7 linked regions of the Cricetulus griseus genome follow. The protein of the gene in region 4 purifies or fractionates together with the protein of the main gene of each other region. This does not show direct contact. Links are inferred from orthologs where the notes say so. Each region holds a gene or a part of one and is shown on either strand. Other genes may lie near its edges. The genes, in order: Trpc4ap, Det1, Dcaf12, Cul4a, Wdr61, Phip and Dcaf4.

Region 1 (4,215 bases), on a different chromosome or scaffold from region 4:
ATTTTTTTTTTTATTTAAAAGGTATTTTTTGGCAGGTGGTGCTATTGTTACTGCCCAACCTGCTGCCCCTTGTAGTCTACTTAATGAAATCTGTTTTCTTTCCCATTCCACCACCCCCTCAAAACGTTTTTTAAAAACCTGGCACTTTTTTACTGTGCCATATGCGGTAACCAATATGTGTACTGCACTAAGGAAATATGGTTGAGCAAATGATTTATTCTGCATAGCAGGAGAGAAGATAGGGAGAGCATAGCAAGGAGGAAAACTAAAAACTCTACTAAGAGAGGAAACTATGAACTGTAAAGGTTTCCATTATCACTACTATTTGGAGGACAGGAATTCCTAATTCAACCTCTGAAACAACTCCCTCACCTGTATAAAACTATCAAAGAAATATGCAATTACAGGCTAAGAAAGCAATGTAACCAAACAAACTTTGGGGATTAACAGAGTAATCGTGAGGACCACAATGCCCAGTCAAAACAGGCTTTAAGAATAATCCAACAGTCTTCCAACATAGTTTCCTAGTTCATAGTTTCAACACTGGAAACAAATTATTTCCCTAAGTTGCCTCATCCAGCATGTTAAAGATTTCTATGGCTCACTGTTTTTAGGACACAGATTATCTGAAGGGGTATTTAGAATCTCATTGCCTAACCTTTTTGAACTTCAATTTCCTCATCTGTATTAAGAGATGAATTCAGCACATGGCTCAAAATACTGAAAACTGCTGGATGTGGTGGAACATACCTGTATTCCCAGCACTACCTCAAGTTCAGGGTTAGTCTAATCTATATAATAAACTCGAAGCCAGCCAGATCTATGTAGGAAGAGCCTGTCTCAAAAGTAAACTTACTTAAAAAAAAACAAAACAAAACATGAACACCTTGCACACTGATTGATCCAAAGTATGTGATTATTAAAGGTCAGTCCCCTCTTTGCTTGTCTCTACATAGTGAGCTCAGTGACATATCCTGACTTCAAGGACAGAACAAGTATTCCTCAGATCTTCTTAGGGCAGATGCAGAAAAATGCAATAAAGGAAAGATGCTCATCCACAGTTTCTGTAAGAAAATATGGCTACCCAAAAGTGCTCCTTCATCTGCAACCCTTTACAAATACAGACTATCTCACCCTCACCCTTTTAGTCCTTTGAGTAATATTCAAATGGCTCAAAATTAATTTTAAATATGTAATGGTACTTTGAAAAAAATCTCACACCTATTCCATTCCCTCATCCACACACCTAATTCCCACTCCTCTCCAATTCAACACTCAACTGGTTTCTTGTGTGTTCCTGAAAATCATATGCAAAACTATCTTTTACTTAAGCTAATGTTCTATCTCCCTCCCACCCCCTCCTCGGTTTGTTTTTCAAAACAGGGTTTCCCTGTGTAACAGCCTTGGCTGTCCTAGAACTCAATTTGTAGCCCAGGCTTCCCTGGAACTCACAGACAGAGACCCGCCTGCCTCCTCTGCTTCCCAACTGCTGGGGATTAAAGGCAGGCACCCAGCTAAACTTCCGTTTCAAAGCAAATTTCTGGGACCACCTGAGAGGATGAGGAAAATGTGAGAGGAGTCATCCATCCTGCATTATTCAAAGTAGTGTCCTGTGCGCGCACCTACGCGCGCGCACGCACGCATGCACGCACGCGCACACAGACACACACACACACACACACACACACACACACACACACAAACACACACACACACACACACGCCACGCATGTACTGGACTTGCGTATCAATCGGTGTGATGATAAGCTAGGCATTAAATATAACCTTAACTGAGCGCTCTCCGGCCCTTATCTGCACCTGAAATGCACTAACACTTTACACTACTATCTCCTTTGAATTTAGCAATAACCTGAAACTAAGTCACTGAAAGATAACTTGCACAAGCAAGACAGAAAGTAGGGCTTTGAACTCGGGCTTGACTAAAGTTCTTCCTCCAAAGCATGTCGCCCTACACTGGCAAAACAGTCTCTGCACCCGTTGGAGCTCAGCCTAATGTGGGAGACAGGCGTGAAAAGGGCACACAACAAAGAAATATGCAATTACAGGCTAGGAAAATAATGCAACCGAAAACGAACTGGAGGATTTGACAGAATAACAATAGGGGCCTACTTTCGAAGAGGGGGAGCAACGTTAAGGCCTCTTTGAGAAGATGACATCTACGATAGGCTTGCGAACCGTTTGGGGGGCTGCAGGGAGGAGGACCCGGTCCTGCTCACAAGGGGCAAACGCCAGGCCAGTAGAAGATGAAGCCAACTCGCCAAGGGCCCCCAGACATGCAGACGTGGCGCAGGGAAATGAGGATCTAGAAACTCGGCCCAGGGCTCATACGCGCCATCCGCACCCCGGCAGCGCGACCCCACTCGGCCCAGACCTGCAGGCCGCCCAGCCGGCCGCTGTCCATCGTCCCGCCGCGGCTGACAGCGGCCGGCCGGCACTGAGGACAACCCCGCGGCCAGCCACGGGGGATCTGGCCGGTCCCGCAGCGGCCTGAAAAGGCCTCTGTCCCGGCCCCTGGCCAGCTCCAGCCTGGCCCGCCCCGCCCCGCCCCTCCGGGCCGGCCTCGTACCTGCACCGCCCGGACCAGGCCCCGACCGGTGAGCTGGCCCTGCCGCAGCTGCAGCAGGATGTTACCGGGCCGCGGCCGGCCTCCCCAGCCGCCCCATGCCGCCGCTGTAGCTGCCGACTGTCTCCCCCGGCTGGCCCCAGCTCCAGCCGCTGCCGGCGCCGCCGCCATGTCTCCTCGTCCGACAAACAGGAAGCAAGCGGCCCCAGAGCCGCGTAGATTTCTACGGGGCGGCGGAGGACTCTCCACATCGCCCCCAGTGGACAGACGCGGAGATGCAGGCCGCGTGGCGGGGGGGTGGGGGGAAATGTGCGCGCCCGGAGGTCTTATGGGAAGTGTAGTCTTTCTCCCGAGGTCGGGCAGATGACAGAGATGCTGGCCTCCTGGACCCACCTGTTTCCCCACATCCCACCTCCAGCATTTCTGTGAGGTTGCTCCAGATGGAAGACTGATCGCTGCGTGGGCATGCTCTCGAATTTCTTGTCTGTTTAGGGATGATGCAGCCGAGTGGCTAGTGAAAGGCCCTAGGCCAGAATTGACACTTGATTCTGAGTTCTGTCCCCTTCTTTTTACGACTGCCTCCAGCCAAGTCTACCCTTGCTCCTCAGTTAGTTCATTCAATATGGGCTCAGATGAGTCAACTAACATTTGTATTATAATTAACAAATATATCTTATGTAAATAATATATAAAAGATTCGAAGAAAATGGTAGAAAACATTTCATGAATTACAAAATTGTGTTGAGATTTTACAGATGTCAATAAATAATTTCTAAGGGAGCCAGCTGTACTCCTCACACTGAACAATAGAGGACGTGGAGGGTGCGGTGATGAGCAGAACAGTGGAGCACCCTGTGAGGGGATTGAGACTACAGGGACCACAGCAAGTCCACACACAAAGAAATGTAACTGGCGAGGTTGTGGTCAAGTTCAGTGAAATAATGCAAGGAGTGGGGTTGGTAAGTCGTAGCCTCTGCCAAACAGAACACTGCGCTGATTTCCCTGCGCTAGTGTGCTCTCTCTCTCTTCTGAACCGCTGTAGCGCGGCGGCAGCGGTAACCACTCTTTCCCTGTTTTCTCTCCAGGGAGAGCTGAATGTGCTGAATTGGGATGTCATGAAGTTTGCTGCTTGTAACAAAGGAGGCTTTAATTTGTTACACAAACCAAAATCCCGTAAAGTGTGAAATGATGTAATAAATAATTAGACTAAAACAACAGACATTTATGGGCACTGCCAGGACAAACTAGACTGTGGTTACTATCTTTTTGTTTAAATTTTTTGTTCTTTTCGAGACAGGGTTTCTCTGTGTAGCTTTGGAGCCTAACCTGGCACTCACTCTGGGGACCAGGCTGGCCTCAAACTCACAGACATCCGCCTGCCTCTGCCTCCCGAGTGCTGGGATTAAAGGTGTGCGCCACCAGCGACCTGCGTGGTTACCATCTTAAAATGCCCACTTTAGAAAGTATGATTTCTGCTCACCTCCAGCAGATCACTACTAGATTGTCTGGTTTAAAACAAATAAAATAGGGCTCGAGGGATGAATCAGCAGGTAGAGGCAGTGGGCTGTCAAGACTGAGGACCTAAGTTGGGTTCCCTGGACCAATATTGGTGGAAGGAAAGAAATGACTCC
Region 2 (4,194 bases), on a different chromosome or scaffold from region 4:
TAACCTGTGGGCCACGACTCCTTTGGTAGCTGAACAATCCTTTCACGGGGGTTACATAAAATCATCAGAAGGCACAGACATTTTCATTATAATACATAACAGTAGCAAAATTATAGTTATGAAGTAGCAACAAAAATAATTTATGGTTGGGGGGTCACTATAACATGCAGAACTGTATTAAAGGGTTACAGCATTAGGGAGGTTGAGAACCGTGCTCCAGGAATCAGTGAAGCATACCTCTGGGTGTCCATAAGTCAGTTCCAGAGACCACTAGATTATGAGGGCTCTGATCTAATCAACGGATTGATATCTTGTGGATTCATAATGGCAGCATTACTGGGAGGTGATGATGGGTAGAAGGAAAGCCTGAGTGGAAGAAGCAGAGGAAACAGGATATGAACACTTGACTTTGGAGGCTAAATCTTGTTCTGACCCTTTCCTTACCCCCCTTTCTCTGCTTCCCGTTTGCCAGACCCTCCCTCAAAATGATGGACTGAGCCCTCTGTAACTAAGACACAGCAAAGCTCTCCTCCTTTAAGCTGATTTCCCAGATATGGAGCCAAACCCTAAGAAGCTCACACATGGGCAAACAGCATTTGGTATTCAGTAAGGCCAAGGCCACACAACAGGAAAGGGGAGTTTCTCCAGCGCACGGCTTCTGGACAAATGGATATCATAAGCAAAAAGAATCTTGGAAATAAAATTACACCCTTATCTTGCACCATTTACAAAACTTAACTCAAAATGAATTAACTAAGTGGAAGACCTATAGCTATAAAACTTTCAAGGGAAACCACAGGGAGAAACTCGATGAAAATGGATCTAATGACTTACGATGTGAAACCAAAAGCATGGGTAACACATCTAAAAGATGATTAAACATGAATACATAAAAACATTATACACTAAAAGTTACAACTAGAAAGTGGAAGGGGGCCAGGCTTGGTGGCGCACGCCTTCAATCCCAGCACTGGAAAGGCAGAAGCAGGTAGATCTCTGTGAGTTTGGGGCCAGCCTCATCTACAGATCAAGTTCAAGACAGCCAGAGTTACACAATGAAACCCTTTCTCAAAAAACAAACAACAACCACCACCACCCCAAAAAAGTGAAATGGCAACCTACAAAATGAACAGAAATATTTGCTGGTCAAATATCTAATAAAGAGTTAATACTCAGCCTATTTAAAAAAACTCCCAGAACCCAACAAATACTCACAAAACCCAATTATTTAAAAATAAATGAATAAATAAATACAGACAGATAAGATATACTTGAAAGACATTTCCCCAAAGGCATACAAATGGCCAACAAAGAAAGTACATCAATAATCATCAGAAAGGAATCAAAAGCTGGGGTGGAGGTGATTCTGGCAAAGGCTCTGCTAACAAGTAGCCCAGATCCTCGGCACCATAAAACAAAACAAACAAAAAGTTACAACATATAGTAAGGGTATTGTTTTGCAATCCTTTTGTTTCAAACTTATCCATGGATAAACTACTCCACAGGATAAGGATCTAAACCGCATGCTGAGCTAGACCTGAGGAGGTCAGACTCTAAACTACTATTCTGGTTGACTTAGGAAAGAACCTTTCCCTGGAACCCAACCACACTCATTCATTTACATATTGCCTATGGCCACTTTAGCCCTAGGAAAGAAGTGCTGAGTGTCTGTAACAGATCACAGACTGAAATATACTATCTGGCCTTTGTAGAAATTAAACTCTTCACCTTTGAGAACTACCTGGGGTATCAACTCCAACATCTTGTCTTTGAAGGCCTTTTTTCACTTCATGAGACCTGATATCCCAACACGGTAGCCACACCTCTCTTTCCCTGCAATTCTCTGTATTTTACTTATATGTATACTTATAGTGATCTCTCTGGGTCAGCTACACACCTCTTCTGTATGCCCACCCCAGTGCTTGACACCTACCAAGCTCCCTTCTTAAACACTGGGCTTACCTCAAGTCATATTCTTGACCAACGTGGGAAAACACAGAGGTACCTTCCTTTTCTCAAATGCATTCTCCCTGGTCCTTGCCTTAACTTTTCCTGTTGCAACCTTAGTGTCAACTTTTGGGAAGTCTTTTTTTTTCCCTACCATCCTCCCTAAATTAGGACTCATCTTTTTCTTGTTCTTTCTATAGTATTCAGTCACAACTTTTATTTGCATGTTCGATTGCATGATTGTGTTTAATGTTTAATTCTCCTCGCTGAACTATACTCTTTCTACTGGAAGTAACCAGGTCTACTTCAGTCACCACGGTATATTCTTTATCTAGCTCTAGGGCTAGCACATGGTAGACGCTTAGGTACGTTCTGAAACGAAAAGAAAGCCAGGCTAAATCGGGTCACTAAATGTGTGAAAGCAAATTGTTAGGGTTCTTTTTTTTTTTTTTTTTTTTTTTTTTTGGTTTTTTTCTTTTGTTTTTTTTCCTCGTTAGAGCAAGTGCAGATGTCTCCTCACTTGGCGACTGCTTCCAAAACAAGAAAAGGATGCCAAGAGGCAGACACACATGCCCAAGGGGCGCCCCCGGAAAGAAAAGCCCAGGGCGGAGCCTTCACGGGCAAAGCCTGGCGCCGGGGCTCCTGGGGCCCGGGTATCATGCGGAGAGGAGCCCGCCGCGGAGCTCCCACCGGCCGAAAAGGACAAGTCCTCACCTGTCGGGTCCTGGCTCATGGGGCCGGGGCAAGGGTCGCCCTAGCCTGCTCGGTGCACACCTCCCCCTGCCCCGCCCACGCCATGCCTCCGGACCCCGGCGTCGGCAGCCACAGACCCCTTGCTTCCGCCGGCTACCGGAAGTGCTGCGCAGCGAGAAGGGAAGTACGGAAGAGCGAGACGCCACCCAGCTGAGGAACGGCGCAGCGCACCCTGGCGTCGGGAGGAGGGATCGAAGGATCGAGGCTGGGTGAAAAGCCCGGAGCCTTCATAATAACGTGAATAGGAATTAAGTTTTCACCGACTTCTCCTGTAATGGTGGAAAATGTGATTATATATGCACCGTGTCATTCTCCGGGCCCGCTGCTATTGGTGGGCACAGAGCATACAATAAAATCTTCTGTACTAAATGAATCCCGTAACATTTTCTGGTCTTTCACTAACATAGAACTTTAATTTCTTACAAGCTATTTCTTCCCTATGAGCCTGTGGCTTCTCCTAGGCTGTCTAACCCTAAGTTGTCCCTCTTTTGGATCATTCAAGTCTTTACATATATGTCATCTTTACGTGTGTGTGGTGTGTGTGTGTGTGTGTGTGTGTGTGTGTGTGTGTGTGTGTGTGTGTGTGTTGTTTATTTTTGCAATGCTTTGGCAGGAAACCAAACACAAAATGTCATCTCTTAAGGCTCCCGTGTCACCAACATCACTATTTCTTCACTCTTGAGTCTAATATCTGTTTTTGTTGCTATGCATTTTGTTTCTCTGCCCTCTGGTAGAATATAAACTGGGGACAGGTTTTTTTGTCTTATTTTCTGTTCCAGGCCCACCTATAACAAGGTTTGCCATCTTACAGAGGCTCAATAAAGAGTCCAGCAGAGGGCCACGAGTGGTGGTCCATGCATATATCCCCAGTTCTTATGAGGCATAGGATATAGAACTGGAGGTCAGGTTGAACCTTGCTGTCCCCACCCCAATTCCCCCCCAAAAAGACTCTGCACACAACACCACGAGGAAAAGATATTGGTTGACTTTTATGAGGTGGGAAAAGGACAAGGGATTGAAGCTAAAGGAAGAAAGGTGACTTAGGGATATAGAGTAGCTGTGAAGAGAAAGATTTCTGGCCCAGTCCTAACATTTCCAAGTTGAGTGTTCTCAGGTGGTGGCTTCAGAGCCTCTACTGCCTTTTCTTGGAAATGATTATACCTGCCCCTTAAGGTTATCCAAAGTATTAAATATGCTATCTTCAAACACCTGAAGTCTTGATAAAACATTACTGAAGTTGTCTGGGCATATTCCTTCTCCATGATGAAACTAAGACCCAAAGAGAGGCATATATCACTTGCACAAGTTCACACAAGAATAAGTGTCAGTAGGGGTAGTGGCACAGATCTTATAGTCCTGGCACTTAGGAAGTGAAGGTAGGAGAGAATCAGGAGCTCAAGACCAGCCTTGGCTGTGAAGCAAGTTTGCCAGCCTTGGCTACATGACACTTTCTCCCAAAGCAAAGCTCAACAAACATGTGGCAGGGCTGTGATT
Region 3 (4,066 bases), on a different chromosome or scaffold from region 4:
TAACATTTCCCTTCCAATTATTTATAACTGTTACTCTCTTTAAAACTGTTCCCTACTCTCATGTCCTCTTCTTCACAAACGCTCATACCCTAAAATACACCACCAGGTACCCATTTCTTATCTTTTTTTTTTTTTTTCCTTTTTCTTTTCTATCTTGTTTTTCAAGACTGGGTCTGGGTTTCTTCATGAAGCCGTGGCTGTCCTGGAACTCTATAGATCAGGCTAGCTTTGAACTCAAAGAGATCCACTTTTGTCTCTGCTTCCCAAGTGCTAAGATTAAAGGTGTGCCCCACCACAGCCAGTTCTTCTTTTTCTTTTCTTTCTTTTTCTTCTTCTTCTTTTTTTTTTTTTTTTTTTGAGACAGGGTTTTTCTATGTAACAGGACAGTCTTGGCTGTCCTGGAACTTGATTTGTAGACCAAGTTGGCTTTCAACTCACTGAGATCCGCCTCTGCCTCTCAAGCGGTGGGATTAAAGGTGTTCACCACCACCCGGCTTGTCTTTCTTATAGGAAACTACTCATTTTTCCTTTTTGTTTCTTCTGAGACAGGTTCTCAGTATACAGTCCTGCCTGGAACTTAAGCAATTCTACTCCCTAGCCATCCAAGTGCTATGTTTGGATTCTATTACACGGAAAAAAAGTTATTTGCCTTATTTTTACTTTCAGCCAAATTCCAAACACTTCTACATATGTCAATGGCTGACACACAGCAATTAAGTTGCCACTATCATGTATCCTGAATGGCGATTCTGAGCATCAATTTCTGTCCTTGCTTTGAGGTCTCTTGCTTAAAAGATGAGGCTAAAACACCAGAAGCAGAAGCATATACAGAGCCAGGGACTAAAGACATGCGTTCATTTGACACCATCAAAAGATGCAGAAGTGAGAAAAAGAGCAGAAAAAGAGGGGACAAGGCCATTAACTAGAAGGAATGGAGAGTAAAGAAACTGATGGGGGCACTTCTTCCTGAAGAGCCCCAGACCCACAACTGGGTTTGTTCTTTCCTTGAGCACCTCTCTGTCCTAACGCTTCTACTGAAAATCTCTTAATAAATTCCAAATCTGCTTACACAAAAGAAAATGTAAACAAATTTGGGCGATGCACAGATAAGAAAGGCTCTAGAGCAGGTGAAGCCATGCATGTCAGACCTAAGAGAGAGAGCGTCTTCCTGCCACTTACCGTATTGCATTTTGTGCCACACACCACTTGCCTATGATTCAACCACTGAGAAGCAAACACTTTATTAAGGGTCCCAAGGTGAAATTCTCTCTCCTTCAGGAGACTGGGAAGTTGTTGTGCTGCGTAACCATGTAACACCCGAGAGTAGTTGGTTTCACTCTGCAGCCTGACCTCCCGGTTCTTCAGGTAGTACACCAAGGATCTTTTCACTGGGGGTAGTCTTTTCCGCTTGTGCAGCGAGTGATCCCAGCCAAACTGTGGAAATCAACATCAGAAATCAGATGTTTGGCCACTTCCCTCGATGACAAGAAATCCCACTGTATTAGAGAACAACAACCAAGAGTTCGTCCCTCAGGATTTACACAATCAAAAATGTAACGGAAGACTCACAACCCAGAAAGTACATCTTAATTCGTCTCGCACTGAAATAAGGTTCTCGCAGTGATGCCTACTTGGAAAATGGGTAAACAGGATGAAAGGTTTACTAGACCACTGAGGAAAGTGGAGGACTTAGAAACCCTATATACTCGGTGTCCTTGGCAGGGAAGGAAATGAGGCCCAGATTACCGAACCCACCTGGGCTGCATTTCTACCCAGTCCCCTTCTCCCTCTCCGCTTGTGCTCCCCGTAGAGCATAAAGGGTATTCAATGAGCCAGAGTGGGATCCCGGATCTTCTAGGGATGTAGTCAGTGGCCGCTCATCTGACACCGCGCGACTTGCGCTGCGGGCAGTTTTAGAATTCGAAAAATCAAATACCAACGGGGTGAAAAGAGTAACCAGCGTCGGAATCCCGAGTCCGACGGGCCCTCCTCTCCAAAGGGGGCAGTAGAGATGACACCTGGTGTTTCTTCTAGGTGTCTAAAAGGACCAGCCTCCAGTTTAGGAGATTGTTTCCTTGCTAAGAGACAATCGGGCCACATTCACGGTGTGCCACTGGAAGCCTGACTTCGGTCTCCTTCCCAGACTCCCCTTGAACTCAGTTTCCCGCGGGACCAGGAGGTCCTGGCTTCTCCTCCAGCTCTATCCCTAGCTGCAGACTTTCAGCGGAAGGCGTCATTTTGGAGTTTCCTTTTGGCTCTTCACCCTTCCGGCTCGCCTGCACGTCAGTAAACTGCAGAAGGACCGGCCGCGGCTCTTGTCCCACCCTGGTCCCTGGTCCCGGTCCTCAGCTGGAACTCCCTAAGCCTCTGTTGGGGTTCTACCATCGCCCTAGCCTGTAAGCCCTCACCTGCGGGCCCTGAGCGTCGCTCCCGGCTCCAGGCGAGGCAGGCGCTTTCCGCTTCCTGCTAACTGCTTTCCGGGCCATAGTGGGCAGCGCCGCCGTGGCCCCGCAGCCACATGGGGCGGAGGAAGCGAGGGGCGGCAGGGCGACGGGTCATATACCGGGCCCCGGGGCCGCGCGCTTTCGTGCGCCCGGCCCGGAAAATGGCCCGGACCCGGGGCGGCAGCTGATCAAAGAGAGGCGCGTAAAGGGAAGGAGGGAAAAATCCAGGCTGGGAAAGAAAAGGCAAAGCAGGATCGAGCAGCTTTCAGACAGCCAAGTCTGGAAAGGACGGCGAGCGGCGAGAACCAAAACACCCCCTCCTGATCACCCGAGCCCGTCACTCCTGCGCAGCCGCACATCGCAGCACGTCGCCACGGAGACGCCGCCTAGATCAGAGGGGTGGGACTTCAGGGCTGCAAGGAGAATTGGTGTTGTCGGAGAACTTCCGCTTCCCTTTTACCAATGGTGGTTTAGCTGTGGTCAAGCTGTGGCCAAAGGAACCCAGCCTTCTGGCGGGGCATTTCCGACCTCAGCCAGCTCATCCTCTGGCATGCGGAAGCAAGAATGAGCTGCCTCGCCGCGGGTAGGAATCTCTTCCAATCTTAAACCTCTAACCATCCTGGCTTGATTAAAGATATTCTAAAAACCCTGATGGATGCCCGTTTGCAATCAGACTATTAAAACACTGGACTCTCCAGAGATTGCAATTTCCCTGGGGGTCTTATTCAAGGAGAAGGAAAAGACTCTGTCACAGATGCCAGCCAACAGAGGAACTTGACTCCAGGAAGGATATTTCACAGTTCCGAAAACTTGTCAGACTACCTTACCAGAGAAACTGGAAATGAAACGACCACACCTTGACAAAGGACTGCTTAGTTGTGTATGCCTTTTGTCTTCTATGTAAGCTTAAACTATACCACTTAACAGAACCCTGGAAATGGACTTGGAGTAGAGAATGCCACCAGACGTCATTGTGCTTTCCAATTATAATATCTCTTTTTTTCACTTCAACTTTTGTCTTTTTAATTGACCTGTTGAGGATGAGTGACCCAACTAGTTAGTTAAGGCTGCCAAGGCTCAGGTTCTGACTCTTACAGCTCTGATAACAGTTTATACTCCTGCACATTTTTTCAAATCTCTCACAAACTATCATTGGGCACACATGATTGGACACCTTGAGGGAGGCAGAGAACCCTATTTCATCTTGCTTCAAGATGGATTCAGGGTAGAAAGCCATAGCAGCAGCAGACTTTCCCACATCCAAGCACTTGGCCAAGTACCTGGCATAGGTCACCCACACATGGGGGGAGTTCTCAGATTCCATTATCTGTTTCTTCCTTCTTCCTTACTCCCTAGCCTCCTCTCCATCCTGACTCCTGATGGAACCTCAAGTCACTTTTCCCCCGTTTTTTTGTTTTTTGTTTGGGACAGAGTTTCAATATGTAGTCTTGGCTGGCCTGGAACTCACTATATTATTTAGATCAGACTGGCCTCATACAAAGAGATCCTCCTGCTTCTGCCTCCACAGTGCAAGAGTGAAAGGTATGTTCTACCAAGACTGGCAAGTCACTTTCCATTCAACATCACCCCCTTTTAGGTCTCCAAGATCTGCTGTCACAGTT
Region 4 (3,500 bases):
CTCCTGCCTCTGACTCTTGAATGCTGGGCTCATGAACATGTACCATCACACATGGCTTGCTGAGGCTGTGGGTGGAGCACAGGAAGGCTGGACAACAGCCTGGGAAAAAAGGGCCTGCAGAGTGCTTCTCCACACCTGGTTCAAAAACAAATAGTGCTCCATCAGCACCGTCTCCACTGCTCAGCTGCTCTTATCTAGAATGTCCCAGTGCTCATATGCCAGCCAGTACCATGAAATCTAACAGTTTCGTAGAAGACAAAGGACAGGAAGGGAATTTGGGGGAGCAGCAGTGTTGGGTACCTCTTGTTGGACCCAGCCCTGACTCACATGAGCAGAAAGCTTTAGGGGCTGTATGCTATCTGAGAGGTCAGCTCTTACCTAAGTCAGAAAGCAATCAAAGACACAGGTGGCAGAACTGGACTTGCAGAAGAGTGTATGTGACACCTATGCAGTATACAGTGTACTAGAATAATGGCTCTACAAAACAGGAACTTGGAGTATTCTCCGTGACATACTTAAACATACATGATTTATATATTAAGAGTTAGATGTGAACATGAAGGCTGTCTCCCATGCACTGCCTGGTGACAAGCTTCTCTTGTATATCCATGCAGCCCATGTCTCTCCTTCTTACATGATTGCTGGTAACAGCAGTGAGCATTCTTATCCCCTGATCTGTGAAATGCCTTAGCAAGGACTCCCAGCTCTAACTGAAGTGACTTGACAAGAGAGTATGTGGAAATCTTGAAATATTTCCCTCTTGGGTTCTTGGCATATGACAAACTTTGTTTAGTGGCTTGGCCCTTTACAACAGAAGGAAGACGTAACAGCTAACAGAAAGAAAGGAAGAAAGAAGGAGCAGCTGGAGAAGGCTCAGCAGTGGAGCTTGCTATTCTTGTATGGAATCAGAGCTGTCTGCAGTTAGTTTCTGGGTATTTTACCAGCTTTCGGACTCCTTGGGCTCATGCACACATGCACAGGAACACCACAACAGGTTGCTTCTTACAACTGGAACTAAGGCAGTGAAAAGTAGATAATCTGGGGGCTTTGATCTATATGGTTACACTTCTACATGCCACTCTCCATGACACTACACAGCTTGATTCCCTCTGGTAGCTGCACCTGCTGGTCTTCTCTGGTATCTGTCAGCATCCTGGCCCACAGCCACACCTCACTGTGTTTTAATCTGCAACCTTTTGTTCAGCAGAAAACTGGTGTACATTTTCACCACACCGGGTTTCAAGTTTCTTATATAGTTGCCTTTTCACACCCACTGCTCTTTTAATGACTGCATGTGTGGTGTGTACCTGTGTAAACATGTGTGCTGGGGGGCATGCAGAGGCTAGAGGAGGATGCTGCTTTCCATCCTTTTCTCTGGAGGGTCTCTTGCTGAACTTGAATCTCACTACTTTTCAGTGAGGCTGATGGCCAGCAAGTCCCTGTGACTCCCCTCTGTCTTTGCACACCTACTGCTTAGGTTATAGGTGAGCGCAGCCATGCCTATTACAGATGTTTTAAGTAATATACTGTGTTCATTTTTCTGTATGTGCAGGTGTGCCTATTATGGTGCATTCATGGAGGTCATGGACAGCTTGTGGGAACTGTTTCCCTCCTTTTACCATGTGGGTCCTGGGGAATCAACTCTGTCAGGTGACTCTAGCAGCTGTGGCATCTTGCTGATACCCACACCTGGTTTTATGTGTGTGCTGGGGGTCTGACTCAGGCCCTCATGACTGTGCAGCATGAGTACTTTAATGATTTATTTCCCGACCCTGGTAAATGGTTTTCTGTTGATTAATTTACTATTGATTTTTGTTAAGCAGAATATTTACCCTTTACTTGTTTTTTTTTTTTGGGGGGGGGGCAGAGTTTCTCTGTGTAGCTTTGGAACCTGTCCTGGTACTCCCTCTGGAGACCAGGCTGGCCTGGAACTCACAGAAATCGGCCTGCCTCTGACTACTGAGTGCTGGGAATAAAGGCATGTGCCACCAACGCCCGGCACTTGTTATTTTTATTGATCAAGAAAAACTAGTGCTACATTATATTGAAAAAAAAAAAAAAAACTTGCCTTTCATTGCTATGGGAGTTCAATTAACAATCTGAAAAATTTTCCTAACACCCAGGAGAATGGAAGAAACAAGAGTACTAGATAAAGAACTGACCTCCTTAAACTCCGCCTTTAACACAGCATGTCCCAGTGTTGTCTGCCACTGGAGCTTCCGACCACTGTGCTTGCCCAGGTAGAAAGTCTTGAATACTTCCTGAAGTCTGACCATCTGCCAAACCAAGAGACAAGAGAGACTGAGCATACCCTTACAGAGCTCTCACAGGCCTGCACAGCTGACCTGAGAAGGCAGGCCCAGATTCTGATATTTATTTTTCTGAGTTCTGAACCCACAGGCCCGAGACCTCTGGCTTTTTTCTGTTTTGGTGCTTGACACTCAGGCTTCACTCACTCCTGCTGGTCACCTCTAGTGGTACATGTGGGTACCCTGAGTCACATGGTGCCTGTAGTCCAGCGACTTCCTCTCCCTCTGGCTAGGGCTGGTGTCACACACTATCATTGTTTGTAGTGAAATGGCCAATGGAGGCTCATGTGCTCCAGGCTTGGCAGCCAGCACAGACTTTGGAAAGCAATTGAGCCATGAGGGCTTTGACCTTATCAATGAATTAGTAATTTAACAGCATTGGAAAGTTCTGGAAACTCAAAGGTGAGGCCTCTTTGGAGGAAGTAGGTGACTGGGGATATGCCTTTGAGAGCATGTCCTGTTCCTGGCCTCTTCTTGGACCCAGGAGATGAGCAGCCTTGACCCAGAATGCTTATGCTGCAGGGGTGCTCCTGTTTTAAAGTGCTAGATCCATTTGACCTTCGGCTGTAATCTCTGAAACCACAAACAAAGGAACCACGAACAAAGGAACCTTCTTCATTTCTGTAAGTGGTTTCTCTCAAGTTCTGTCACAGTGACAAAAGCTAATGAGCATGGACACTCACAAGTGCATGCAGACTACACAATGAATGACCTCAATGACCTCATAGGCACCAAGGGAGTGAGCATAGGCTCGCAGTCACCAGCAGTATGGCTACCTCTCCTGAGCCCCTTCTCTATTTGAAGCCCTTATCACTGGAAGCCTTTTGATCTTGGCCTTCCCAGCCTTAGAATTACCCAGTTTCAGGAATGCTGTTGCAACAACAGAAAACAGACTAAGACAGATACTTTCAAGAAAGTAAAAAGACAGCTCAACCACAGTAGCTATCAAGGATACACTTGAGATAGCAGGCAAAGCTTGAATGAGGGACTCCTACCAGTGAGCAGTTTCTCATCTGAAGTGCTGGGGAAATTCTGGGAGACCTGCTCTGATACAGTGAGGGCAAAGCCCACTGAACAGGAAAGAGATGCCATATACATAGCCGGTGCTAAACACAGGCATTCTAGGAACCACCTAGCACACTTTCTGTAAGTTTGGACAATTTCAGAACAAGTGAAAAAACAAAAACAAAA
Region 5 (3,495 bases), on a different chromosome or scaffold from region 4:
AAGGAAACCTGTCTGTCGAGGCGCTTTAGCTGTGGTCCCCTGCACAGACCCTGCAGTGTTCATTAGCTGCTGTCTTTTGGTGTGGTTTGCTGGCAGCCAGTTAGATGTGAGGCCAGCAAAGCAAGGCGGGTTGTATTCAGAAGGGACAGGCTAACCAATTTGTCTCAAATCATCCATCTCTCCCCACAGAGTCCTGATGGGAAATACCTGGCCAGCGGAGCCATAGATGGGATCATCAATATTTTTGATATTGCAACTGGAAAGCTTCTGCATACGCTGGAAGGTACCCACAACCCCTCATCCTAGTTTGTGCTCACTGGATGGATATCAGGTCACAAAGCAAGAATGCTTCTTTTATTAAAATACTAATTATATTGTTTTTATCTCTGTTGGAAAACTGAAGTACCACTATGTCTTAGACATAGCACTGTGGTTTTAATCTGGACACAATAGTTCTTTTTTAGTGATGTTGATTAGTTTTTATTTATGTGTGTTTTCTCTTTTTTCCTCATGAGCTTTGTGATTGCAAGGCTGTCCATCTCCACACTGGTGGCTTTGGGAGGAGGACAGAGCAGGAGACAGAGATTGCTCCTCTTGTGTCTGATTTTGAATTATAACCAAGTGCATGTATTACCTTAATTTACCCTTTACCCAACAGCAAAAGATTTGGTAGAGAAATAATATTATTGGACCTTACAAATATTATTTGTCCAACTTTACAAATCAGATGCAGCCTGTATTTCCATATTTGGCCATATTTGTAGGGCGTTGGGGGGGGACTGTTGTTGTTTTGTTTTGAGACAGGGTTTCTGTGTAGCCCTGGATATCCTGGAATTCACTATGTAGACTAGGTCTGCCTCTGCCTCTGCCTCCTGGGTACTGGGATTAAAGATTTATGCCATTGCCACCCAGACAGGTCTTTTGTTTGTTTTAAGATTTTGTGTATATGCGTGTGCGTGCACATGCAAAGCACAGAAGCCAGATTTCAGATCGCTTGGAGCCAGAGTTACAGATGGTTGTGAACTTCCAGCTGTGGGTGCTAGAAACTGTACTTGGGTTCTCTGTGAGAGCAGTACATGCTTTTGACCACTGAGATATCTCTCCAGCCCCCCAATTGTTTTGATTTGAATTTTAACAGATTATATTGAGACCTAGCTGATTAGAGAACTAAGAAGAAATGGCTACAGGAAAGAGGTTGGAGGCCTGTGGGAGTGGAGGAAGGGTCTAGTCAGTACCTTCTTCTCTGACTGAAGCTCCAGGGTTGTTCCAGCTCAGTGACTAGTGGTCATTAAAAGGGCACAGTTAGAAAGCTTGTGTGGTGGAGCTGCCAGCTTAACAGCTTTTCTGAATTGCAGGCCATGCGATGCCCATTCGCTCCTTGACCTTTTCCCCTGACTCCCAGCTCCTCGTCACAGCTTCAGATGACGGCTACATCAAGATCTATGATGTGTGAGTTACCTTTCCAAGAGTAAAGGTCTCAGCAACAGCTTTTTCCCTTTACTGATAGGAGCCACTCTAGGAATTTGTGCCTGCTCTATGGCTATAAGTCAGCTCAGATGCTTTGAACTCCCAGTCATTTCTCTCCCAGCCAGCCCCTCCTGCTAGAGCTTAGAGTGTGTCCCCAAGGTCTATGTGGAGGAAAAGTACATCTATCTAACCCTAGAAGGATTAGACACTGCTGCTCTTTTTCAGGGGTCAGGTGGTTTGGCTCCCTGATATTCAATTCTTCTGGGTAGATATGTAGCATACAGCTGAGGAAATGGAGCTCTGGCTATAGCTGGCCTTGGGTGTCTCTTCCAGGCTCCTGCTTTCAGCAGATATGCAGGCTGACTTCTGGTTAGGGAGCCCCAGGGTAAGCTGCCCCATAGGTCTAGGTGGGGAGCCTCTTGAGGTATGTTCTGGACTGACGGCGTAGGAGTGAGCAGATTGCTCTTGTGTGCTCAGCACCACCATTGAGGGCCCATACTGCTCTCCCTTCTGTTGTGTTCCTCCCTCCCACCTTCTCATTCCCCCGCTGTTGCCAGTATATGCCAGTATATTTGTGTTGTCCTGGGTTTCATTATGAGTCTCCATGCTAAGTGTGCCTCTAGTTCATCATTCTCCAGTTCTTTTCTAATCTGTCTTACACATTTCTCACTCCAATATGTCCTTTGGGCCTCTGTGAGCTGTTTGAGAGTTGAACTCTGCGATCAGAAGGGCATGCTGCTTTTGACATTAGTGGTGAGAGGATTCTGGGGCCACAAGAAGAGACTCTCAACATTGCATGTTTTGGGTGTCTCTCTTTGTTAGCTTTCATTGATGCTCTTCCATGACTTCCCAAGCTGTTGAGGCAACATGACATAGTGCCTCCACTTAGCTGGCTGAAGAGGTGGTAATTGCCCTAGCAATAGTGAACCTCACGATTTCTTACTCTCTGCACTTCCTGAGGCTTGTTTTTAGAGGCAAAATTGCTGACCTCAGGCCCAGGTTGCTTCTCCTGGCATAGGCATTTGGTTTCCTGGGAGAGATGGGTGGCTCAGCAATTAAGAGCACTTGCCAGTCTTGCAGAGTTTAGTTCCCAGCACCCATGCTGGGTGCTCACAATTACCTGTAACTACAGCTCCAGGGGTTCCATGTCTCCCTGTGGACTTCATGGGCACCTGCACACAAGTGGAACACACACATAAAATAAAAATCTTTTTCAAAGTAAAAGAAACATGGAAATAGTTGTAGGAATTGGGACTAGCTTGGTTTTTTGCTTTTTTGTTTTTGGCTTTTTAAGGTATTTTTTTGGTTTTGATTGGGTTCTGTTGTTTTATTTTTGGTTTTGACAGGGTCTCACTATCTAGCACTAGCTGGCCTGGAACTTGATATGTAGAACAGGCTGGCCTCAAAATCACAGAGATCTACCTTCTTCTGTCTCTCAAATGCTGGGATTAAAGGCATGTGCCACCATACCCACCTATCTGCCTTGGTCTTGACCAGGTCACAGATGTTCTGTTGAGCCACATATCCTATGATGGGCACATCTCGATGCTTTCCTCTCATCATGGGAAAGGTTCTACTGCAGGAGGGTCTGGCTGGCCTGCTCACCCCTGCTACTCAGTCTCTTCAACTTGGAGTTGGCTGAGCCATCTCTGCAGCCTCCAAGCTCTTGATATTTTTAACTTAATGCTGCTATAAAAATGTGTCTGGTGTTTACTGCTACTTCACTGAAAATGGAATTTATGACATATGGCCATTCTGATATCACACTCAACCATGTGAGTGGAGCTAATAGTTCATTAACCAATTCCGAAATTAGAGTCCCCTAAATTAGCATCTCCATTCTGTTTGAATCTTTCTTCTTCCAGACAACATGCCAACTTGGCTGGCACACTGAGTGGCCACGCATCCTGGGTGCTGAACGTCGCGTTCTGTCCTGATGACACTCACTTTGTCTCCAGGTACGTAGGAGTCATAAATTTCTAAAGTGGTTGGCAGGGGAGAGCAGTCTTCTGATAATGTGCCTTAAAA
Region 6 (3,500 bases), on a different chromosome or scaffold from region 4:
TAGATTTCCATAATGCTTTTTTCATTTATCCTTAGTTTGGATTAACCTGCCCCCAACCTCTCCTCAGTCCTCCTATCTCTACTCACACTTACAACTCTGTGTATTCCCCTACCCCCCCTTCATGTGACTTGTGTTTGTGCATTGTCTAACTAGTTTTGATTTGAGCTCCATTTTGTGAGATAACTAGAATAACAAGTATTATTTCTCAATTCTGTTTGACTTGAACACCTTTTCCTGTTCTTTTATCCTAAAATAGAACCCATTTCTAGCCAATCTGCTAGTCTGTGCCTTTTGTTGGGAAATTGAGGCTATTGATATTCAGAGTTATTATTCAAAGTTATGTCTGTGTTCTTAGCATTTCATTGTAGTGTTTGGTTGGTTGGTTGGGGTTTTTGGTGTTTTGTTTTTAGGTTTGATTGTATGGGGATTGTGTTTTCTTGGACCTTCTCCGGCTCCTTGAGTGTGTTTAAAATCTTTCTCTTCATTTCTATGTATTCTTTCTATTATGCTGACCCAGTGTTATTAAATTCCTTTAGCGTTTTTGTCCTGGGAAGTTTTGATTTCTCTTTCCAATAATAGATTTTTTTCAGAACTTGGAATACATCTTTCTAAGGCCTTCTGATTTTAAACATCTTAGTTGAATAATTAGGTTTTATTTTGATGGACCTGCTTTCGTAAGTGACTTGACCTTTATCTAAGTACCCTTTCGTTATTCTGTGGTTTTAGTGTTCTGACAGTATGTGTTTTGGGGTGGGGTTTTTGTTTTGGGTTTTTTTTTGGTTTGGCTTGATTTTTTTGTTCCTTTGTATTTGGTGTTCAGTTACACCTCTGTACCCGAATAAGCTATCTCTTACTCTGTTTGATAAATTTTCCTCTGATTTTCCTGGGAAATCTAGCATAGTATTCCCTTGTTTTTTCTATGTCCATAATTTGCGTGTCAGATCTTTTCACAGTACCTCAAAAAAAAAAAAAAAAAAAAAAAGAAGAAAAATGTGTAATTCACATCTTTTGAGTGATCTAGTTCCTCTGCTTGTGCCTTTTAGTTTAGTGCCTAATTAGTATGTTTTCATGTAAAGCAAAGAAAGCACACAAGCCTCAGGCAGTTTGTGCTGTAGAAAATTCTTTGTTTCCACATTTATCTACCACGCCTTCACCTCCCAGTTGTAAAACAGCTGATCTAAAGAAAATCATTTATGGGAGGCTTGCAGGGCTTTTGGTGTTTTTCCTTTTCACTCCCTGTTCCAACTTGTTGAATTTCTTAACTTTTTAGCATGGAATTAGTTAAAAGTAAGATTTTTAACCAAGATAATAGTGGTCCACTTTACAGAATTGATACAGTGTCAATATTATATGATTACAAATTATCATTTGCCATTCAGTTACATGAAGAGAGACTATTTGAGTAGCATGTAAAAAGGAAAAAAACTCCTATTCAATTTTTTTTATGGTGAATATGGCTTTGTATGTAGGTGTGCACACATGTGTATGCATATGGAGGCCAGCAGTTGATGTTACATATCTTTCTCGATCACTTGCCTTATAGTTTGAGGCAAAACCTCTGCGCCTAGATTTCCCCAGTTGGCTTGGTTGGTTGGCCATTGAGCTCTATGGTCCCCTGGGCTCTATTCCCCCAGCGATTGAACTTACATATGTATATCACAATGCTTGGCTTTTTGGTGGTTTCTGGTGACCCAAACTTAACTAATCACCTTTCCAGCCTTCAGTTGTTCTTGTTGCTTCATCCTCTTTAAACAAGTAACCAAGAATAACTTACTTATACATTTGCAGATGAGAGTAGGTGAGGAATGTCAAAGCCATGGCAGTTTTTGTGGAGATTAACTGATAAAAATTACTGCAGCAGATATACTCCTAATTATCTTGGGTATGGAAATTAAGAAGGAAGATTCACTCTGTGACTAGGGAACATAAGGAGATCTTCAGACTCGAGACTCATTTCTGATAGAGAAGTTACTGTGGTCACAGTCATAGGAGATGAAATAAAAGCTAGAAATTTCCCAGTCTTTATTGTCTGAATAATCTTCTCACTGGTCAGATGACTGAAAGTAAGTGAGTAACAGTTAACATGCTTATTTATTGGAAGGACCAGATTAAAAAGCCATAAAATTGTTATGCTAAGAATATTTTTCCATGATTTCTTAAAAGTGATACTATAAAAACACCCTGTGTTTAGTAGGTTTAACAGTAAAAGACTTTGTTGTGATAAACTGCAAATAAATATGATCATTTCATTCGATTCAAACAAAAAACTCTTTAACACATTAGAATGTGTAATAAAGGAGGTAGGAGGTAGACATGGCATTTCTACTCTTTGCTGTCAGTGACGACATTAACTTTGTGCTTAAGTCTTTCTTTTTGTCTTGAGAGTCTTTTCCCGGGGGTCAATAAAATGGGCCAGCAGGTTTACCCCGCAAGTCTGTGAGAATAGGAGAGAACTCCCTCCCAAAAGTTGCCCTCCACTTCCACAGATGCATGGTGACTCATGTGACACTCACACATAGACATCATCATCATCATCATTCAAATGTACACACAATAAATAAATTTTTAAAAATAAAAAGACTAGGTAATAGCTGCAGAAATTTATCAATTCTCTTATTTTAGTAGGAGTTTTTTATTATTGTTTATTATTATATCATTACATAGACGTATTCTAGGGTTCTTACCCATTAGTTGGCGGGCTAAACAACACATTAAACATACTGTTTTTTCCTTTCAGGAGATTGTAAGAACAATGTTCTTATAGCAGGAACCATTCAAGTAAATGGCCATGGAGGACAGCCATCAAAACTTGTGAAGAGAGGGCCTGGGAGGAAGCCTAAGGCAGAAGCTAACACCAGCAGTGGTGAAGTTATACACAAGAAAAGAGGTAGAAAGCCCAAGAAACTGCAGTGTGCAAAGCAAGAAAACTCTGAGCAAAATAACATGCCTCCAATCAGGGCTGATGTGGTTCCTTCTTCAACATGCAACTTTCTTTCTAACACTAATGCTGTTAAGGAGGATTTGTTACAGAAAAAGAGTCGTGGAGGCAGAAAGCCCAAAAGGAAGATGAAAACACAAAACCTAGATTCAGAACTCATAGTCCCTACTAATGTTAAAGTGTTAAGGAGAAGTAACCGGAAAAAAACAGATGGTCCTATAGATGAGGAAGAAGAGTTTGAAGAACTCAAAGGCTCTGAACCTCACATGAGAACTAGAAACCAAGGTCGAAGGACAGCTTTCTATAATGAGGATGACTCAGAAGAAGAGCAGAGGCAGCTGTTATTTGAAGACACCTCTTTGACTTTTGGGACTTCTAGTAGAGGACGGGTCCGAAAGTTGACTGAAAAAGCAAAGGCTAATTTAATTGGTTGGTAACTTGAAGCAAAATATTGTACTTCAAAATCTATGAAACAGGTACAGTTAAGGAGTAAGTAGAACTAAGGTTTCTGCTTCCTGGCTGCTATGATGGATTAGGGAATGTTACAATTTGACTTAGGAAA
Region 7 (4,152 bases), on a different chromosome or scaffold from region 4:
GATGCTGGGTACAGGCCCACAATCAGGTAAACAGCTAATGCACTTGGGGGACATCTTAGTTGGGGTCCTGGGACTATATCACTTTACCCTAACACCTGGGACCTGGGGTTTAGGGATAATGATAAAAACCCTGGGACTTACATAGTAACAGTGGCTGCACAACCTTGCAAATGCACTAACAGCATGCTATGGTATTCAGTGAGGGCTGGGGAGACAGGAGGGTAAGCACTTGCCACTTAGCGGGGTCAGAATTCCCAAAACAAGGTTTCACTTCTCCAGTAAAATGGGAGGTGGAGACAGGAAACTCCTCATAAGTTCCAAGGCCAGCTAGCTCTATGAACTAAGAGGGAACAAAAGACCTGGTGTCAAACAAGGCAGGTAACAAATAACACCTCAGGTTGTCCTCTAACTTCCACACAACCACACTCACTTAATATGCACACAAAAATCACATCAATAAATAAGGTGAGAAATAATGCAATCATAGGAAAACCCAGTAAGACCCTGATTCCTAACACATAGTAAGATGCAAAGTGCTAATGCCACTGGTTGCTAGAACCCGGCATAAAATGGCCCCTTCAATAAGTTTCTACCCTCCATAGTGTGGACCATGTGGACCAAGGAGGGAAATGGGAAAATGCAAGTGGCTCAGTAGGACTTCTGTCCAGTGTAAAAAATAAAACGAGGGGCTGGAGAGATGGTTCTGCAGTTAAGAGCACTTGCTGCTCTTGTAGACCTGAGTTTGGTTTCCAGAACACACTATGAGGTGGCTCACCACCTCCTGTATCTCAGTTCCAAGTGATCCAACAGTCTTCTGGCCTTGAGGTCACTCCCACACAAACAGCATTCACCCACACATGCCCCTGTCCTTAAAATTCCATCCCTGAATCCACAGCAAAAAACCACCTCCACAAAGTTGCCCCCGATCTCTACATGCACACTTGCACAAAAACATCCATATAACAGTAATAAAATCAAGCCCCTCTTTACAACATGGAAACCAAGGCTTATAGAACTAACAATATCTAGCTAACAAAGTTGCATTAAAGGAGCAAGAAGAGGTCCCCAACACTTCAGGGCAAAATCACCCACAGGACAACACCTCAATTAATTTCCACTGTTATTTACAACTCAATTTCCAGACAGTGGGGTTTTTCACTTCTCCAAGGTGCTGATTCATTAGGTTTTTTTTCCTCCCTTCTTACTGCTCTGCTCAATACACATGATGGTGTCTATGGATCTTCAAGGTGGAGAGAGCATTGTGCTCCCCAAAGTCACCTGGGAGACCACAAATGCACCCAGATTCTGAAGAAATGGTGTGGACAGACTTTCTTTCTTTTTTTACTTTTTTCCTGAGAGACAGGGTTTCTCTGTGGCTTTGGAGGATGTCCTGGAACTAGCTCTTGAGGATCAGGCTTGTCTAGAACTCACAGAGATCCACCTGCCTCTGCCTCCCAAGTGCTGGGACTAAAGGTGTGTGCTACCACTGCCTGGCCAGACTGCCTTTCTCACTAACACACACGTGGTGTGTCGGGGAATGGAGGTTGGTCCACACCAGGGCTTACTAATGCTCTAATGCTTCCATATACCAGCCTGCACAAAATCTCAGGCAAGCCACCCTTAACCTTTCTTTCTGTGTCTGAGACAACTGTGGCTGGAGAGATGGCTCAGTGGTTAAGAGCACTTGCTGCTTACAGAGGACCCTGGTTCAGTACTCTGCATTTTACACAGGAGTGTAAGTGCACCCCCCCCCACGCAACTCTCTCTCTCTATATATATATGCCGGGTGGTGGCGCATGCCTTTAATCCCAGAACCAGGGAGGCAGAGACAGGAGGATCTCTGTTAATTGAAGGCCAGCCTGGTCTTCAGAGCGAGTTCCAGGGCAGGCTCTAAAACTATAGAGAAACTGTCTCGAAAAACCAAATAAAGAAACAAATAAATGCTCTTTTAAAAGGTGTGGGTGTGGAAACCCCCCCAAAAAAGAAAAAAAAAAAACAAAAACCAAAACAAACAAACCCCCCAAAATGCCCGGCGGTGGTGGCGCAGTCCTTTAATCCCAGCACTAGGGAGGCAGAGGCAGGCGGATCTCTCTGAGTTCGAGACCAGCCTGGTCTACAAGAGCTAGTTCCAGGGCAGCCTCCAAAGCCACAGAGAAACCCTGTCTCGAAAAGCCAAAAAAAAAAAAAAAAAAAAAAAAAAAAAAAAGTGTGTGTGTGTATGTGTGTGTAGACAAGGCTTAGTGGTTAGGAGCAATGAGGACCTAGATTTGATTCCCAGCATCTCCCATGGCAGCTCACAACCACGTGTAACTCTAGTTCCATGGGATCTGTGCGACCTTTTTTGGCCTCCGTGGACACCAGGCATGCTTGCAGCGCACATACATATGCAAGCCAAATACTCATACGCATAAAAATAAAAACACAAAACAACAAAACTAAAACAAGAACGTCTTCCAGAATTTATACCAAAAAGCGCTACTGGGCTGGTGCTCCATCACAGTCCGAATTTCAACGGAGGCGATGGCCCTGGGTCTTTAAGCAGGTGACCCTGGGGATCCCGCAGGGCCCGCCAGGCCCGGGCCCACACCCACTCCGGTCGTGTCACGTGCTCATTCCTCCTGCCCTTAGCCCGGCCTTCCCCGACGTCTGCGTGGGTACAGTGACACCCACCTTCGGCACCCAGGAGCGCACTGGGCATCGGAGCAGGCTTACCTGCACCGTTGCTTCTCCGAAGCTTAGCAAGTCCGGCTGGAGCACAGAGGAGGCGTGCGAGGACCCGGAAAGACACTCACGTTCTGTGTTGTAGCAGCCCATAGGACTAAGGCGACTGGCTCTGCCTTCTCATTGGCTCAGGCTTCTGCCCGTCCACGCCAGCAGGAGCGGTCTTATGCAGAGGGCGGGACTTGGGACTTCCGCTTCGTCAGAGCCCCTAGTGCCTGGCCCTGGAGTGCTTGGGGGCGGAGCCTGGTGCGCTTGGGGGCGGGGCTGGGGCTGGAGATTGCTACCTGAGTTCCAGACACCCTCTTGGCAAACGGAGTTTCTCTCTCTCCCTTCCTCCCCCCTCTCTATCTCCTCTCCTCTCTCTCTCTCTTTCTTTCGAGACAGGGCTTCTCTGTGGCTTTGGAGGCTGTCCTGGAACTAGCTCTTGTAGACCAGGCTGGTCTCGAACTCACAGAGATCCACCTGCCTTTGCCTCCCGAGTGCTGGGATTAAAGGCATGCGCCACCAACGCCCGGCTCGTCTTCTCTCTTGCTGCAGATCGTACCGGAGAAAATTTTTTTCTGCTTGGGGTCGGTACATGAGCCAGAGTTAACACTGATATGTTGTGGGGAAGAGATGATTGTATTGTGGAAAGAGCAAAGGAGCCTTTGAGGGGGAAAGAGAGAAAAGGATTAGGTGGAGTCCTCGAGACTGCAGGTGCGCAAGACTGCGGAGTGTGGCTTCGAATCTGCGTGTTTCCTGCGAGCTGTGTGATTTAGGGTGCGCACTTCTTCTCTGCGCCTTAATTTCTTCCACAGTAACAAGTAAACCGAGAAGATATTCTAATTTAATGATCTCCAGACAAAAGTATGTTTAGACAGTATTTCCAGAATGATATCTAGCGTGCCTGTACCAGCTCACAACCCGGAGGACCACTCCAAGGAAGATGAAATCCGTGATAGGTCAGAAGTGTGAAATGATTGTATTGTGGAAAGAGCAAAGGAGTCTCTGAGGGGGAAAGAAGAAAAGTGTGGGGAGAGTTGGTTCAAATAGGCCAGGCTAGGGTGGGGATCGCAAACAGGCTTGTTCTTACTGTATTTGGGGGAGCAAAGAATCCAAACTGACAGAATAGGTAACTGGAAGCCTGTTCCAGCTACTGGTTGGGCTGGCGGTGAGGAACCTGAAAGATTTAGCAAGGTGGATGGAAGCAGGGAAACCTGTGAGGCTTCAGAGACTGGAACCTTGTTGGGTAACAACTAAATCTGTGCTTAGCCGAGGTCTCTTGGGTGGAGCAGCACAGCAGTGACGTCGAAGGTAGTCACGGAGGAGAAAGAAAAGACAGGATTCTATGTAAAGCCTTGAGGTCCCTGTAGGATTGAGGAGGCAGAGGCGGCGGGGGTGTGTGTGTGTGGGGGGTAAGACCCGCACACGGATGACGACGGGACAACGCCA

The links.
Region 1: the proteins of Cul4a (region 4) and Trpc4ap purify together in Homo sapiens (affinity purification with mass spectrometry; 7 studies listed by BioGRID and IntAct, counting the BioPlex papers as one, with this or other methods). This does not show direct contact. The link is inferred for Cricetulus griseus from reciprocal best matches to the Homo sapiens genes CUL4A and TRPC4AP.
Region 2: the proteins of Cul4a (region 4) and Det1 purify together in Homo sapiens (affinity purification with western blotting; 6 studies listed by BioGRID and IntAct, counting the BioPlex papers as one, with this or other methods). This does not show direct contact. The link is inferred for Cricetulus griseus from reciprocal best matches to the Homo sapiens genes CUL4A and DET1.
Region 3: the proteins of Cul4a (region 4) and Dcaf12 purify together in Homo sapiens (affinity purification with mass spectrometry; 4 studies listed by BioGRID and IntAct, with this or other methods). This does not show direct contact. The link is inferred for Cricetulus griseus from reciprocal best matches to the Homo sapiens genes CUL4A and DCAF12.
Region 5: the proteins of Cul4a (region 4) and Wdr61 purify together in Homo sapiens (affinity purification with western blotting; 3 studies listed by BioGRID, with this or other methods). This does not show direct contact. The link is inferred for Cricetulus griseus from reciprocal best matches to the Homo sapiens genes CUL4A and SKIC8.
Region 6: the proteins of Cul4a (region 4) and Phip purify together in Homo sapiens (affinity purification with western blotting; 11 studies listed by BioGRID and IntAct, with this or other methods). This does not show direct contact. The link is inferred for Cricetulus griseus from reciprocal best matches to the Homo sapiens genes CUL4A and PHIP.
Region 7: the proteins of Cul4a (region 4) and Dcaf4 purify together in Homo sapiens (affinity purification with mass spectrometry; 8 studies listed by BioGRID and IntAct, counting the BioPlex papers as one, with this or other methods). This does not show direct contact. The link is inferred for Cricetulus griseus from reciprocal best matches to the Homo sapiens genes CUL4A and DCAF4.

Annotation. Positions count from the first base shown.
Region 1 is NC_048599.1:23,921,342-23,925,556, reverse strand, and holds the start of Trpc4ap (short transient receptor potential channel 4-associated protein), read right to left. Parts: upstream 2,801-4,215; 5' UTR 2,756-2,800; coding exon 2,588-2,755; intron 1-2,587. UniProt on the Homo sapiens protein: Substrate-recognition component of a DCX (DDB1-CUL4-X-box) E3 ubiquitin-protein ligase complex required for cell cycle control.
Region 2 is NC_048596.1:118,770,930-118,775,123, reverse strand, and holds the start of Det1 (DET1 homolog), read right to left. Parts: upstream 2,801-4,194; 5' UTR 2,662-2,800; intron 367-2,661; 5' UTR 252-366; coding exon 238-251; intron 1-237. UniProt on the Homo sapiens protein: Component of the E3 ubiquitin ligase DCX DET1-COP1 complex, which is required for ubiquitination and subsequent degradation of target proteins. The complex is involved in JUN ubiquitination and degradation.
Region 3 is NC_048595.1:101,264,967-101,269,032, reverse strand, and holds the start of Dcaf12 (DDB1- and CUL4-associated factor 12), read right to left. Parts: upstream 2,801-4,066; 5' UTR 2,487-2,800; coding exon 2,409-2,486; intron 2,044-2,408; exon of another isoform or gene 1,816-2,043; coding exon of another isoform or gene 1,756-1,815; intron 1,435-1,755; coding exon 1,180-1,434; intron 1-1,179. UniProt on the Homo sapiens protein: Substrate-recognition component of a DCX (DDB1-CUL4-X-box) E3 ubiquitin-protein ligase complex of the DesCEND (destruction via C-end degrons) pathway, which recognizes a C-degron located at the extreme C terminus of target proteins, leading to their ubiquitination and degradation.
Region 4 is NW_023276807.1:67,640,986-67,644,485, forward strand, and holds part of Cul4a (cullin-4A), read right to left. Parts: intron 2,277-3,500; coding exon 2,163-2,276; intron 1-2,162. UniProt on the Homo sapiens protein: Core component of multiple cullin-RING-based E3 ubiquitin-protein ligase complexes which mediate the ubiquitination of target proteins. As a scaffold protein may contribute to catalysis through positioning of the substrate and the ubiquitin-conjugating enzyme.
Region 5 is NC_048597.1:166,341,560-166,345,054, reverse strand, and holds part of Wdr61 (WD repeat-containing protein 61), read left to right. Parts: intron 1-189; coding exon 190-283; intron 284-1,355; coding exon 1,356-1,449; intron 1,450-3,332; coding exon 3,333-3,425; intron 3,426-3,495. UniProt on the Homo sapiens protein: Component of the PAF1 complex (PAF1C) which has multiple functions during transcription by RNA polymerase II and is implicated in regulation of development and maintenance of embryonic stem cell pluripotency.
Region 6 is NC_048597.1:193,301,637-193,305,136, reverse strand, and holds part of Phip (PH-interacting protein), read left to right. Parts: intron 1-2,737; coding exon 2,738-3,375; 3' UTR 3,376-3,500.
Region 7 is NC_048598.1:120,209,212-120,213,363, forward strand, and holds the start of Dcaf4 (DDB1- and CUL4-associated factor 4), read right to left. Parts: upstream 2,801-4,152; 5' UTR 2,699-2,800; coding exon 2,671-2,698; intron 341-2,670; exon of another isoform or gene 142-340; intron 1-141. UniProt on the Homo sapiens protein: May function as a substrate receptor for CUL4-DDB1 E3 ubiquitin-protein ligase complex.